4 linked regions of the Drosophila melanogaster genome follow. The protein of the gene in region 3 interacts with the protein of the main gene of each other region in a pairwise test. Each region holds a gene or a part of one and is shown on either strand. Other genes may lie near its edges.

The links.
Region 1: the proteins of bard (region 3) and CG15529 interact in a two-hybrid assay, tested with the Drosophila melanogaster proteins (one large-scale study listed by BioGRID).
Region 2: the proteins of bard (region 3) and CG11444 interact in a two-hybrid assay, tested with the Drosophila melanogaster proteins (one large-scale study listed by BioGRID).
Region 4: the proteins of bard (region 3) and CG14151 interact in a two-hybrid assay, tested with the Drosophila melanogaster proteins (one large-scale study listed by BioGRID).

Annotation. Positions count from the first base shown.
Region 1 is NT_033777.3:30,149,991-30,154,201, reverse strand, and holds CG15529 (uncharacterized protein), read right to left. Parts: upstream 2,144-4,211; 5' UTR 2,022-2,143; coding exon 1,808-2,021; intron 1,560-1,807; coding exon 1,183-1,559; 3' UTR 1,114-1,182; coding exon of another isoform or gene 983-1,113; 3' UTR 922-982; coding exon of another isoform or gene 597-921; 3' UTR 503-596; downstream 1-502. Other genes in the region: CG11498 (uncharacterized protein), read left to right, coding at 597-921, 983-1,113.
Region 2 is NC_004354.4:4,552,572-4,556,084, forward strand, and holds CG11444 (uncharacterized protein), read right to left. Parts: upstream 1,828-3,513; 5' UTR 1,412-1,827; coding exon 764-1,411; 3' UTR 546-763; downstream 1-545. Other genes in the region: CG3527 (uncharacterized protein), read left to right, coding at 1-327.
Region 3 is NT_033777.3:18,079,196-18,083,102, reverse strand, and holds bard (bard), read right to left. Parts: upstream 2,056-3,907; 5' UTR 1,983-2,055; coding exon 636-1,982; 3' UTR 520-635; downstream 1-519.
Region 4 is NT_037436.4:10,627,123-10,630,272, forward strand, and holds CG14151 (uncharacterized protein), read right to left. Parts: upstream 1,363-3,150; 5' UTR 1,332-1,362; coding exon 1,218-1,331; intron 1,158-1,217; coding exon 926-1,157; intron 864-925; coding exon 619-863; 3' UTR 558-618; downstream 1-557. Other genes in the region: CG34238 (uncharacterized protein), read left to right, coding at 1-253; CG42536 (uncharacterized protein), read right to left, coding at 2,096-2,187, 2,238-2,336, 2,390-2,537, 2,596-2,679, 2,743-2,874; CG42535 (uncharacterized protein), read right to left, coding at 2,978-3,039, 3,093-3,150.

The sequences.
Region 1 (4,211 bases), about 12 Mb from region 3:
AAGCCCTTGTCAAAAGTGAAAAAATAGCGATTGTTTTAAAATTGGGACGAACTCTTCCAATTGGCATTTGGCAGGTCAAAAGCTGATAAACTTGATCTTGAAGTAGCTCAGCGTACGAACTGCTTGCACTGCTTTCGTTTGGAAATTTAGCACAGCACAATGACTCTCAAACTGTGAGACCAATTCATCCAGCGAAGATTACTTTCAATTTTCAAGTGCTTGGCCATCAATTATTTCCAGCCAAGCCCGTGGGCTCTGGATGCTTTAAATCCTGTCGGACCACAAACTGCGATTGCAAAATATCAATTTTGCAAGATCGAATTCGCACTAGAGGATGATTAGGCGTTGGTGCAGTGAAAATGTGAGGGAAAGTGGAGCCCCCAGGGTGTCAGAAAATTACGTAGGCGCTTGGGATTTGAATCACTTTCGATCTCAGATGAACGACACTTTTGCAGGGAAATGGTACCATCAAGATTAGTTGATAATAATAAGTCACATATTTATGATTTTCGAAAAACTATTTATTCATTCATAAGTAAGTCTAATTAGATAGTCATCTAATTGATAATTTTCTTAACTTATTGGTACTTGTGTAGCTCTCCTTCCGCCTGTGCCACGGAATGCGGGAGCGAAAGGTCCTGGAAGTTCGGCGAGTCCTGAATTGCCCCTTGGACAGCAGCAGTGAGACCACCTTGTCCCTGGACAGATCCGTTCGCCAGCACCTCTTCGAGACCGCCGAGAGTTTCCCGTTGGGCGAGATCGAGCGGTCGGTGTTCAACCAGGTGCTATCTACTCTGCACGAGTACCCCTGCCTGGAGTCCTGCCCCCCGTTGACGCACTACGTCAGTGCCTGTGTCCGACTGGCCTGGAGGATGATCAACCAGAAGGCGCCGTACTACCTGGACATGGACTTCAACCTGGGTGGGTTTTAAGCTACTCTTTAATCGTTTAACAATCTTACACCTACGTAAATCCCATGCAGGTTTCCTGAGGCCCGAGAAACACGAGCGGCATCCCCAGGCGGACCGGCGATCGGATCTGATAAAAGCCTTCCTCTGGCCCGCCCTGATGCAGAACAACCAGTGCGCCTTCAAGGCGGTGGTGGCCACCTGAGCATCGTCTTAAGCTAACCCCATTTGTACATACTTGCCCTCTCTTATGCAATAAAGATTTGACCCCTAGCTAAGCGTAACTGATGGGACGGAGTTGGACGCACTGGCTCCGGACCTTGTTGGTGCAGAGAAGTGGATGCTCCGTGTAGAACTCCACGATTTCCGAGGGGGATCCGAAGCAGCGCTCCTGAGACTTCTTCTGACCAATGGCATAGCGTTGTCTCCTATCCACTTGCCTTATGAACAGGTGATAGTACTGATCCGCCGCCCAGATGCTCACTATGTAACGGATCCACTGGTCGGCTGCCTTGAAAGGTCGAACCAGGCAGGACCCGTCCTCTCGTCCATGGAGCATTCGCTCCGCCGTAGGACGATCCACTGTGAAGTAGTACTGCTCCTTTTCCACATGCCTCTCCTCAATCTCCGCGTAGTTGACATCGGCATCGTCTTTGCGGAATTAAAAATGTTGTATTAGTAATTGGACCTATTTACCGCTTAATCTTCTAATTGAGTATTACTCTACATTAATTTATGCCTCTGTAGTTATCTATTATTTATCAAATTTCGATCATTTAAACTTAAATTCGAGTTAAATTTAGCTCTACGAACTGTATCGTGCTTTCTGTTTTGGTTTATATGCCGTCACTCTGGGGATTTGGCTTTGTTTTGAAACCGAGAGATCGATGCGTACTCACCCACAATGACGTAATCCTCACGGGGCTGCTGTTGTGGATCGTCGTCGGTGCTGGAAACCCGTTCTGCGACGTCACCTTCCTGACTGGCCTGCCGCTGATAACCGAAGCAGCAGCTACAGAAGGTGGGCGATCTGACTTCCATCAGGCTGTCCATCATGCGAGCCAGGAGATTGTGCAGAACCGTCCAGTAGACACGTGCACACCAGCAGCACATGGCGCCAAACGACACAGTAGAGCAGTCCTATTCCCGCGACCTTGGATTAGATGGATCGGTGGCACTGAGACCGCCGCTCCCGGCAAACATCTTTCGCTATCGAGCTGCGCTGAAGACTGACTACTTTGTGACCAGAACCAGACGAGGAACCAGAACCAGAACCCAGAATTCAGAGCCCGAGAACAGAAGCCGTCTCGTCTGGCAGTGCTTATTAATTAAAATGTGTCTACTGCTCGGTTGTGGGGCGGCAGAAATGTTCATATTTAAATAAGATATGGATATGGCTGGTAAACAAAATTCACATTGGCAAGAACGCGGGAACTCGGATAGTTTGAAGCCCGGCGAGTAACTGGATACTCCGAGTGCAGTGGGGAGATCAGCTCTCTGTTCTTATACACAATGAGAAATGCAGTCAACCTTTCTGTGCTTAATATCTCACAATTTAATTATCTGTAATGTCTTTATATATAGAGAGATCCACTGAAAGAACGCAGTTTAAACGTACATAACGAAAATAGGATTATTTTTGAGTGTACAATTCTTTGCAGTGTACATGTGGGCAACGACAATTATTAAACGTTTAGCACCCATGCATTTTCCATACCCCCCCCCCCCACCATTTTTCCGACTGACTGTGGAATTCATTGAATGTGCCTGCAATTTTTGGTGGGGAGGGGTTCCCCATATCGCATTTCTGCGGCTCTACATAACCGAGACCGAATGGATACGAGTGGCCAACATATGGATCTGAGCCGTTTGCCCGCTCTGCTAAAAAGTTTGAGAACTGAGTTTGTTTTGCTGATCTGTTGTTTTTATTAATGAGCTGTTGATAGTGCTGGTTAAGTCCCATTTGATAGGCATTCAAAAAATTCTATAATTATAAATCCTATAAATTGTAAATATGACTTTTTGGTCCAAGCTCGATTTCCCTGTTTTTGGTTAAAAAATAATGCGTTTTTTGGACACAACTTTGAAAATAATGGTTCAAAAGTGGAGTGGCATATCTTATTTTACTCCTAATTAACTTCCCAATCGATTAGTGTTCAAATTTGGAAACTTTAAATTTTTGCGATTTTTTGCAAAATTTGATGATGTTACCCCTTATAAAAATTCGAAAATTGACAAAAAAATTTTTTTTTCTTAATTCGAAAAAACGGGACAGGGATCGTAAGCATTGGTAATTAGCTGCACAAAACAGTAATTATTTTTACTTTACGACCATTTTCAGTCAAGAAATATTGAAAAAACCACTTGGAAACATGGATTATTTTGATCAACTAGTTTTTCTCATTTTCCATCCAAAATAATCGTTTTATTTTTACAAGGAAATTATCCATGTTAAAGATTAAATAATCATTTAAAGCGTTAAGCATTAGCTGAGACACAAACCTTTCGAAGTTTTACCGTAAGCTTACCAACGGCTGTGGTGAAGCTCTCCCGCTGTCTCTGTCACTCGCACTTCCCTGTCTCTCGCACAATTTAAATATTTCTTAAAATTCAAAAGCAATTAAAGTGCGGTCATAAATTGTGCGAGCTGACTACGCTCCGAATCGATTGCATTCAAATCTCCTTGTAAAACCCAAAATGGGCGTGCAAATTGCCAGCACGTGGACCCATAGATATGGTTCTAAAACTTACAGATCCGGGCAAAAAGAGTGCTGCTCAGTTCATTACGTATACGCCGGATTGGCTGCAGCAAGCATCGCGATTTTGTTTGCACATCTAAAGCAGTGACTATTCGCTAGACAGAAGGCAAACATCTTCGCAGGCCAGTCACGTGCACGTAAATGTCAATAAAACGATATTCCCAGTCGATGGTGATGGTCCGATATGATATTGTAGTATGGGGGCATTAATAATACCCGATGCTCGAGCAATACGATCGCACTCCGCTTGACACAGTAGCAGCCCCAACATCGGGCAATTAATATGCGGCAAACAATTTTGATGAACTGCTAACAAGCCGATGGATCGATGGGGGTTTTATGGGGGCTTCTGGTTCTATACCGGGATGACAGCCCATAAAGCAGCACAATGGCACAAATTGATTTTGGCCAAACGATTATTTCGGGGGTTGCGTGCTCTTGGGCACATCCGCATCGAAAAGTAGTACCCCTCCGAAGCCAAGGATCAACCAGCTGGGCCATCAATATCAATGAGCGGATGCCGATTGATTGGCAGACCCGTCGA
Region 2 (3,513 bases), on a different chromosome or scaffold from region 3:
CAAATTCGCGCCAATGACTCCTCACGTCGTCTGATGAGTGTCATTAAGAATCCGATTACGGATCATGTGCCGGTCGGTTGCAAGAAGTACGCCATGAGCTTCTCTGGCAAACTATTGCCCAATTGCCGGGATCTGGTGCCACATGGTGACGAGACGTCGGCCAGCTATGATGAGCCGGTGGTCATCGTTATTGGAGCCTTCGCACATGGCGTTCTCAAAACGGACTACACGGAGGAGCTGTTCTCCATTAGCAACTATCCACTTTCGGCGGCCATCGCGTGCTCCAAAATCTGTTCCGCCTTCGAGGAGGTTTGGGGCGTGGTATAATCCAAGTCCAAAGCATTGTTTTTCTTAGTTTAGTCATAGCTAGTAGTTAGTCTACATATTATTCTTTTGATTGCCTTCCATTAAAATTTGGTGGAATATCCAGACCAGAATACTATTTTCATCTTTCTTAAAGTTTAGAACATACAAAGACGCTTATATATATAGTTATAATATAATCTGGGATCCTAATTAATCATCACGAAACACACGCACTTTCTCTGTTTTTACAATTAGTTGGTTTATTTATGTTAATTGCAGTTACAAAAGATAGGCTTAGAAAACTTGCATAATTTTGAAGGTATGTTTGCGGTAATTTATGCTTAACTAATTGCACTGTTCATCAAAAGGATTATTGCGAATTTTGTATACGTTGCACGATTGAGAGCTCTATTAAATCCCACATGGGAAAGGGAAGGTTTCAAAAGGGATGGATTATCTACTTGGCACCCGGCTTTTTGGTGCCCACATCGGCTGCCTTCTTTTCCGCCTCCCGCTTGGCGGCCGCCTCCTCGCGCTGCTGCCGGATCAAAGCCAATCTGGCCAGATCGGCCTTAGCCTCGGTGGTTTTACCAGCAGCATGGAGTTTCTCGTAACGCTGGCGCGCTCTCTGCTTTTCGATCTGTTCGCGTTCGCGGCGAGAAAGCTCCGGCTTGGGATTACCGCCGGCACCGGCTGGCCCGTCGTCCAGCTTGATGGCCGATAGCTTTTGTGTGGCCTTCTTGGTCACCCGGTTGGGATTCTCGATTTCGATGAGTGAGGCCACGCCCTTCTTGGCATCGCGCGCTTCCGCTTCGGAGTCATCGTCGGAATCCTCGCCAGACTCCGATTCCGAGGAACTTGCCGCACCGGCGCCCGCCGCTGATCGAGACTTTTGATTGCGATTCACGGGCGCTTTACGTGTGGCGGGTGCCTTGGCTTTGGACGCAGAGGAACTGGCTTTGCCGCCGGCAGCGTCTTTATCGTCGCTATCTGATCCCGAGCCGCTGGTCTGGTCGCTATCCTCCTCCGATTCCTGTTGCAGTTCCTCGGGAGATGTGAAATGGCGACTGCGACCTTTGTGGTTGACGAACTTTCCTCGTGGCATGATGATTTATGGACTGATCCTTACGGTTTCCCGGGTATTCGCAGGTCTCTCCTCCTGTATGTCCGATGTGCTTGTATCTAGAGCTTTTACTCTGGCTACGTTAACGGATTCTTACGGTCCGTTTATGTTTCGAAAATTATCTATATTTAATCACGTTGTAAAAAATTTTTTTGCACTATTCACAGTGTTGTACAGTGCCGGTCAAAAGTGCGCCCGTGCATTCACTGCATAGTAATACCGCATAAATAACACGAATGGTAATACCGTATCACGCCTGGCGCCCTCAAGTGTTCAAGTTTGCTGTACTCGGTAATTAACCGCTTCCATAACCGTTTCAAAACAAAGCGGGAAATTCGAAAATGTCTTTGGTTGTTTAATTTTTTGAATTTGCTTATTTTTTTTTTTTTTTGCTCACTTCGCTTGACTAGCACTTTGAATAGGAGCCTACTTAGCGTAGTTTCTGAGCATTGCAAGTAACTTTGGGATAAACTCTTTAGTTTTATGATTTTTTGTTTATCATTGTAATTCTAAAATATAAAATATTTGTATACATTGGAAATTAAATACATATATAATTTCCTTGCCCTTCACCTGCTATCTATCTGTATATAATCTCACTAAAAAATATCCCGATTTTGGAAGTGTGCTCTTTGCGGCTTTTATAAGAAAAAAAAACGGAAAACTGCTTAAAATTGAAATAAATAAGGCACACGTGTTGGGAATTCTCATTTGGGCGATGGCAAACCATAAATTAGTGGTACATATTCCACTCTTTTCTTTTTATTGGGTCAACACCATCGATTGAAAGAAGAAAAACCGATTTTACTTTTACTCACTGATTGGTTTCTTTTTTGAAACCGCCATTTTGTCGATTCGCTGCAACTGCAACTGCAGCTGCACAGAATCTCGAGATGCAGGAAAACGTGATTATGTATGTATGTATGTTTGTGTGTATATAAATGAGTCGCACTGGCATTGGTCTGCTGCTGTGATTTGCCGGAAAACCAGTTTTTCTTCGCTTTTCACTGGCCGCCCGCCACAAGTTGCAAGCGAATAATGCGGCATTAATAACCAGAAATAAACGAAAATCGTTTTGCATATTTGTGTCAGCGCACATTCCTCGATATCATGCATCTCATTAACGGAAACTCTCACATATGTACAACTTATTGATTTTGGCCGGCAAGAAAAAAAAAACACAAAAAAAAAAAACAATAAAAAAAGAGCCAGAAATATAACCAAATATAATATACTCGAAAATTTAATGCACGAATTAATTATGAATTCCATGTGTGCTCGCCACGAAAGCGGCAAACAAATATTCAAAAATTCATCGTAAATGCTGTTCTTCTCGCCCGCTCTTCATTTCCCCCGATTGTTAAGTGAATAAATTTAAATGAAAGTTCTTTTATTTATTGCTATTACAGCGGCAAGATGCTGCTTATGCACTTAGAAAGTGCGCCATGCAAATGAGAAGAAATTAGTTAATGGAATTCTAATTGCGTATACGCACTTTCTTGCTGCGTGCGTCAGTTTTTTTTTTTTTTATACGATCACTCAGATCGGATGGCGTATAAACGTATATCTACTATATATCTATGCATGTGTGTGTGTGTGTGTGTGTGTGTGTTGTTGTGTTGCAGGTGGGCCAGGTTTTCGTAGGCGTGTGGGTGCGGGATGTTTGCACACTAGCGATGGGGAAGTTGCCCCCGCGTTGTAAACACCTTATGATATAATTGTAATTTCGGCATAGAACAATTTGTATAACTATGAAAAAGAAGAGCATTAACTTATATTCATTTTTTTTCTTGCTCAACTTTTTGCAGTCACTGTGCACAGTGGACAATGGACAATGGACACTTCTCCCGACATTCGGCACTCGACTTCACTGTGCTCTGATTCCCGATACGATCGTGGTATATGCACATGTACATACATATGTACATACCATGTGTGTACAAATGTACATATGTATAGTAGAGCAGGCACTGTGATGTCTCGCCACAAATGGGTCGATGACAGATTGCGTTGGTTGCTGAGGCTGATTGTGATAAAAAAAAAAAAAACAGAGCGCACAGAGTACAAAATCGAAAAGAAACGAA
Region 3 (3,907 bases):
TTATGGAATAACCAAAATATTAACAATTACACACAAATTATAGTTAAACATCTATAATCTAGCTTATTTGAAAGCAGTTGTATTGCGCCAACCCTGAAGTAAGAGAGCCAAATCCCCAATGCCATGCCAAACTTCACTTCTTTTGGCCAGTTGGCCAATGGTCAGGAGTTTCGGTGATCGGGGAACTGAGCCGGACAGTCGGCAAAGAGCTTTGGGCACTTTGCGAACTCATTTTCCGACTCAATCAAATCAAATAATTTATGCCTCGCGAAATTAACTGGCCATGTGAGTGGAGGTCATGCCACATGTGAGGAGAGTCCAAGAAGCCATGACGGCAACTTGGGGCCCAAAGCACAGTTAAATCTTTTCGCTGGCCATAAAGTGTGTTGATTTTTCCATTTGCCAGACCCTAAAGCGCTGCAATGCGAAATAAATAAATGTTTGCCGTTGAAGGAGAGACCTCTTGGAAAATTGCCTGCAATCGGGGAGTGTTTGAGAATGAAAATGTGCGTTGCTTTTGATTTAGCCAGTGCGTCTTATTTATATACAATAGAAAATATAAAAAATTACAAAATTCATGAAAAAAAATATTTGTTTAGGAGTATATACAATTGGTAAAATTGTTGAGCTGTTATTCACTCAAAATCAAACTCGAAACCATCCTCCTGATATTCGTATTCGCTGCTGTCACAGGTGACCTGAACATATTTGTTGCTCTGCCAGTGATAATATTCCTCGGGTGTGAAGTTGCCCCACATCATGTCGCTGAACACCTGCAGTGGTCTGGGATTCCTTTCCTGATTGCGAATATTCACGAGCTTAGTAAGTTTCTCCCAGTTGCTGTGGTAGCCGTTCAGAGCCAAGTGCTCCAGATTGACGCACTCGGCGACCAGTTCCAGGAGCTGAGTCTCCCGCACAATCTCCCAGCCACTGAAGCTGAGCACCTCCATTTGTTGGCAGGGCATGTGCTGGCGATCCAGGAAGAAATCATTGTGGCACCAATTCTCGCATATCACCTTCCTCAGCTTGGGCAGTTCGAGGAGCAAACTTTGCTGCCACCGAGCTGGCAATTGAACCACTTCGTTGTTCAGGGCAATTCGGGTGATCCTTTCGCTTTTGGCCACCACAATCTGCTGGAAGATGGTCTCCTGATCTGCGTTCAATTGCCGCGAATCATCGAATCGCACGGATAGTTTCTGTAACTTGGGCAACTGCAGCACCTCCGATAGCATGCATTCTACGGTGCTCAAGTTGATTTTTAGCACTTCCAGATTGGGCAATTTGATGTCTGTGAGTCTCACACAACTGTCGAACTGATCGGTAATGTCAAGGACTCTCAAATTGGTCATTGTCAGACAGATATCCTGAATCCAGCGGCTATCCAATGGCACCGAATGGTACAAGGAGTTGAATACCAGCTCCTCCAACTTCTTGAAGCCACGCATATATAAGCCAGATAGATTCATGCAGGTCATTAGGCGCTTGAGATTGGGCAACATTACCGTCAAGTCGCGGATGTCCTCATCGACCACTGTGTTGGGATTGCCCGCCAATATGCAAGTGTCCACCTTGGGAAACTTGGTGATATTGATATCGCACAGGTGTGTGATATAGTCGTAGAATTCAGAAAAGGAACCAACGCCGTCGTGAACGTGCAGATCCGTGAAGCTATCAGCCATGTGTTCCATAAAGAAGACATAGTCATCGATGTCCAGGAGTCCAAGGAATGGTGTATTTGGACCGATGATCAGGTGCAGTCGCCTCTGCCAGAACTTGAGAATCTGTGGCATGAACTGTGGATAGGCCCTAGCCATGCGTACCTGATCGATCAGATTGTCGATCTCTTCGAAAATCTGCTCGAAAAATATAATGTGCAGGTTGTCGATGTAGTTCGGTTCAATTTCCTCCATCGGTGAACAGGTATTATTTTGCTGGGCAACCAGAGCGTCCTTGTAGAATGCGGTATTGTGCATTTGCGACATTGTATGTATTGTCTGTCAAATGTGATGACTGCTGTGTGTTGCTTCCTCGAAGGCTGCTGTTGGTTGAATGTGCTCTTGTTTTGATGAATCTAAGTTTTTATGCAAATTTAGGTAGTGCATTTAGTGAGGGAGTGAATCAGGTAGTAGTGGGGAAGGATTACCCAGTGTCCTTATCTCTTTTGCAGGCTAATCCTTTGGCAACAGCTGTGCCAGCTTTCAGTAGTAGTTACCTGTAGTTACCTGATCTGTAGGATCGCGCCATGATCGCGCCGGTCCTCATAAATTGCGCCGTCGTATACTGCCTGCAATTTGTAAGCCTGCGCTGTTGTTGTTGCTGCAGAAAAAAAACCCTATCTGTACAGTTATCGCTAGAGAGACTCACTAGTTTGCATATTACACGAACCCAGACGTGTTCCCAGCCAACTTCTCTAGCAACTGCCCTGTTCCAGTCCAGAATCTTGGCCGGATGCGTTGGACAAAACGTGGTCAGCATTCGGCTTTGCCTGGCTTGGCTTCTAGGAAATGCTAACAACTCTCGCAGAGGAATCGTAAACGAAGAACAGTCCCACCAAATGGAATAGAATAGAATGGAATGGATTCTGTGCGAGCTTCAACGATCTAATAATCAAAGCCATGTGTTTTTGTCTGGCAGCTTAGCGAGCGATTAGAGGAATCACAATCACAGAAGACACTGAAAAAGAAACTGCACAGTTTATTATCCGAAGAAATACATTTTCTTTTAAAGATACAGTGTTAGAATTATCTTTATATTAAGGGAGAAACGTAGCTGATGAAAACTGTCGAAGCGATTAAAAGCGAATCCTTTTCACTAAAGTATGTCCAAGGAATATATATGTTAAAAGTAAATGTTATAAGATCACAAACCTTTGTTAATAATATATTTAACATATAATAAATTGAAAAAATCATATATAGGAAAGTAAAATATAAAAATATCAAAAATTGAGGTACATTCTTAGTTTGATTTCCTTTAAAATCTAGTAAAATTTTGCTAGGATAGACTTAAGTACAATTATTAAATAATTTTTGTGAGTGTTGAAGAAGGTTCACACCGTTTCCCGGACAAACTTGTACAGTTGCCCTGCGTTTCCCATTGATAATTCTTGGATACCCTCTGTTGTCAATTGTCATTGGGTTGGCTTTTGTCCAGGGACTAATGGCATTGTTGTCAGCCTTGTGTGCGTCTATGGCCTGTCAAAGCATAAAACTGGGCAACAGACAATGCTGACAATCTTGAGCGGGGAGCCAACTTCTTAATGTAGATATAATGCACATTTCTATTTTGGCCCGGTTGGTGAAAATATTTTCATTTGTTCATATTTTTCAACAACTTTGTTGGCTACACCTCAAATCTGATGTTTATGAATTCTCAGCGACTCTGTTTTCTTCTTTTGGGAAAACGTTGCTTCACACGAGATTTGGAAAACGGGTTGGGGTATATCTCTGATGCAAATGCACTTGTCTCTGGTATTCGTTTTTTTCGGCTATAATATACTTTTTTTTTTTTTTTTGGTTGGTCTCTGTTTGACTGTCTTATCTGAGATCAGTGTCGATCAAGGCAGCAGACGAATTGGGAAACATGACATACCGAAGTATGTGTATGTATGTGTATATGTATGAGGGACTCGAGACTGTTTTAATAATTTTGACGTAATCACATCACAACAATCTACCGTGGAGGCTGTTGGCTTTTGACTTTTCCTGACTCCCAAGTGGACAGTTCTTTTTAGCCTCGATCTCTGCCTGATTTGTTCATTTAAATGAATTACAATATTTTATCTTTACACAGAGATCGTTGGAGCTTAAAACGCTGTTCACATACATATCTCCTTTGCATTATTTGCAGGTAAATAAAAATGAAAAAGTTGAGAACTTTCCAAGCATCATCTGCCTGAAATTCCTAT
Region 4 (3,150 bases), on a different chromosome or scaffold from region 3:
CGTTCAACGGTTCTACGTGACTTTGGCCTTTTGCCAAGCCTGTCATAAGGCTATAGCCACAAAAATAGCACAACAGGAAGCTTGTATGGATTATGAAAGAGAACACAGTCACCAAAGGCATCATTTTAATTATGGCGAAACCAAAAGACCTATTCAAAACCAAAATAGCAGGGGAAAAATAGTTAAAAACTCTCCGTCACAACCAATGAAGATGGGTTTTTTCAGACCTTCAGACAGCAGCTCAACAACGTAAAATGAAGGGTTATATATATTTATTTTATAGCTAAAATATTAAAAGACAAGTTTGTAAAAATATTAAAAATATATTATTTATCTACAGGGCATGCAACTCTTCGAATTCGTTTAGCTGCATTTGTATCTCTAGATTTTTTCTTTACTCACTGCTGAGCAAATTATTTTAAAAGGATTTTGTGTTTAACATTGGCGTTCTTGTGTGTGTGTGTGTGAGTGGCTTGTGTAGGTGTGAGTGGTCCGCATCCTGCGTGTGATAAAAGTTAAAGAGCTTGTCTCAGACAAAAAGAAAAGTTCAAATCAATGCATTCAATTTCATGTTTATTTTAAAAATATAAAAATCAATACTTTAAACACTTAATACCTTCACTTTCGCATTTGTTTCTGAAGTTTTTTGAGAACGGCTTTATCTTTTTTCATACGCTCCTTGGCTTGTTTTTCCATCCGTTTCAGATCCTTGCGATCCAGTGGCTTTTCCTCTTCCTCAGCGTATTTCACATCACAGCCACTCCTTTCTCTATACTTCTCATCGGGAGGCGTTTCTGTTGCACTGTAATCAATCATATCCAGATAAAGTAGGTATATGATATAGACAAAAGTCATTTCCACGGCTAAAAGGAAATTCAATTATATATTCAGTAAATTAAATACGCTAATTATTATTTAGACCTACCCAGTCCTACGAAGGGCAGCACTGTGATTTTGACACCTTCCCAGTTCACAGATATGGCCAAGGTCAGGCCGTAGAGCAGTATAAATCCATCTAGAAGTATTCCCAAGCAGGTGAACACCAACCAGAATCGTACCAGTCCCAGTTTTCGCCTATAGATACCCGCCATCAAAACTATGATTATAACCATCCAGAAAATGGTGAAGATCAGTGCAACCAAGGCGGTCCAATGACCCTGCAAATACCAAAATTGAGCCACAATTTCCCTGAAAGGACTGTGGCCTAATTGTCTTACATGCCTGGCAAATACCACTCCTGAGATAATTGCGAATAGCAGGGCGGATATGAAGTCCAGCAAGGCGATGCAATAGGCACAGGGCACTAAATATCCATCAGAATTTGACCCCATCGCCCAGGCTAAGATTCATCACATCACTGGCAATGTTGTCTACTAAATCAAAGCTATAATGATGATAAGCACGTACTTGGCGATTGGAGAAGGGGGTTACTCGGGTCTTGGCGGCCTGTTAATCAAAGCCGTTTGATTGCCAACATTCATGGACACAGCACAGTGGTATTCAAGCGTGGGAATGTAGGGAGACTCAGTGGCCAAAAGTACAATACACTACAGAAGTTTTCAATATATGCCAAGTTCAATGTTCCTGCGAATTATATTTAGTTTCATGAATTTTTTTGTAATTTCCGTTTTAATTTATACATCTAAATTACATGCATTTATAATCTCTTCATTCAAATACTGAGCTCTAAAAATAGCTGCCAAGTGTATTCCCAAAACATTCTAAACCAATGTGAACTGCTTTTTGCTGGCGAACTTCGTTCCTCATTTATGGCATTTGTTTTGTCAGCAGGTCCTGGAGATTGAATTGTCCTTTTTCCTGGTCCCTCGATGGCAACGTGACCACCTATCGTCCTCGCAGGCATCGGAAAATAGATGGAAAACTGTATAAGTCAATTATTATCATTGCTTATGGGGGGTCGGGAATTGATTTCCCGTAAATAGAAATCCAAATAACACATGAAGAAAACCATTTTTAATTTATTTTAGTAACTCCAAAGGGATTTTGAACCGTGTGTGGACATTGAACATAATGAAACGAACATAAATGATCATTATTAATCAAGCTTTTTGCTGTTTTTGTCCAAACTGGCATTTTATCCTTTAGAAGATCTTCCAGAAGTCCTGTATTTTGAACTTGGAGATTGGGTTTGAGTCTCATTATCTCTGTAATCTTCTGTTTTTCTATCTGAAATTTATGTATAGTATATCGTATAAATCTGTGCTTAAGCTATTCACCTTTAGTAGTCGTATCATAATTATCACCCTCCAAAAGGACGTAGGAATATAATCTCCTAAAGTATCTGAATACCAAGTATAAGCAAGTGACCTCGTAAACTGCAAAGATTTATAATTCAATGTCTAAGAATGCTATTAAATTAAAAACATACAGATTCCCAAATATGAAATGGTCCAGCGCTTTAAATGTTCTGCGTCGAAAATAGGAGATGAAGTAACATTCCATATTAAATAAATAATATCCGTAGCAGTTGCAAAGGCAGTGAACAGTAACCAAAATACGAGCAGAGTTGGTCGACTCTAATTAATACGAAACAGTTAAATATGTATATAGTTGGTAAATTTTTTTAATTCTTACTGTCAATAAACCAACAAACAGTCCACCAACGGTCGCAATCCAAGCTATTGTACTTAGAAAGGCCATTATGGTATACCAATTCGTCTAATGCAAAACAATAAATGGCTAAAAATGTTAAAGAACGTTCTTTTCAAATACAATACTTACGTGCAAGACCATGAGTGAAACTGAACTAAATGAAAAATACAATGAACGCACCAGTTCAAAAGCGCCAATAACAAAGCATGTCCTTAGGAGATTATCCGTAGGCAACTTTAGCTCTCCCGATTCAATAGACATTTTGTAAGAAATAAATTTATTCGATACACAAATGTTTGAAACAATCTAATAAATATATATTTTTTTAGTACGGAAATACAAAGCCAACTAAAGTTGAAAGATCTTATTTTTTGCCTTTCTTCTTTTTTGGGCTTTTAGACTTTTTCTTTTCGTTTTTTCCGCCACCTATATAAAATCGATTAGTAGTAAAATGTAATATTAGTTTAAAGCTATCTTACAACATAGGGTCCTCTTCTTTTTCGATTCATCCATAATCTGATAGTACCGATGTATGAA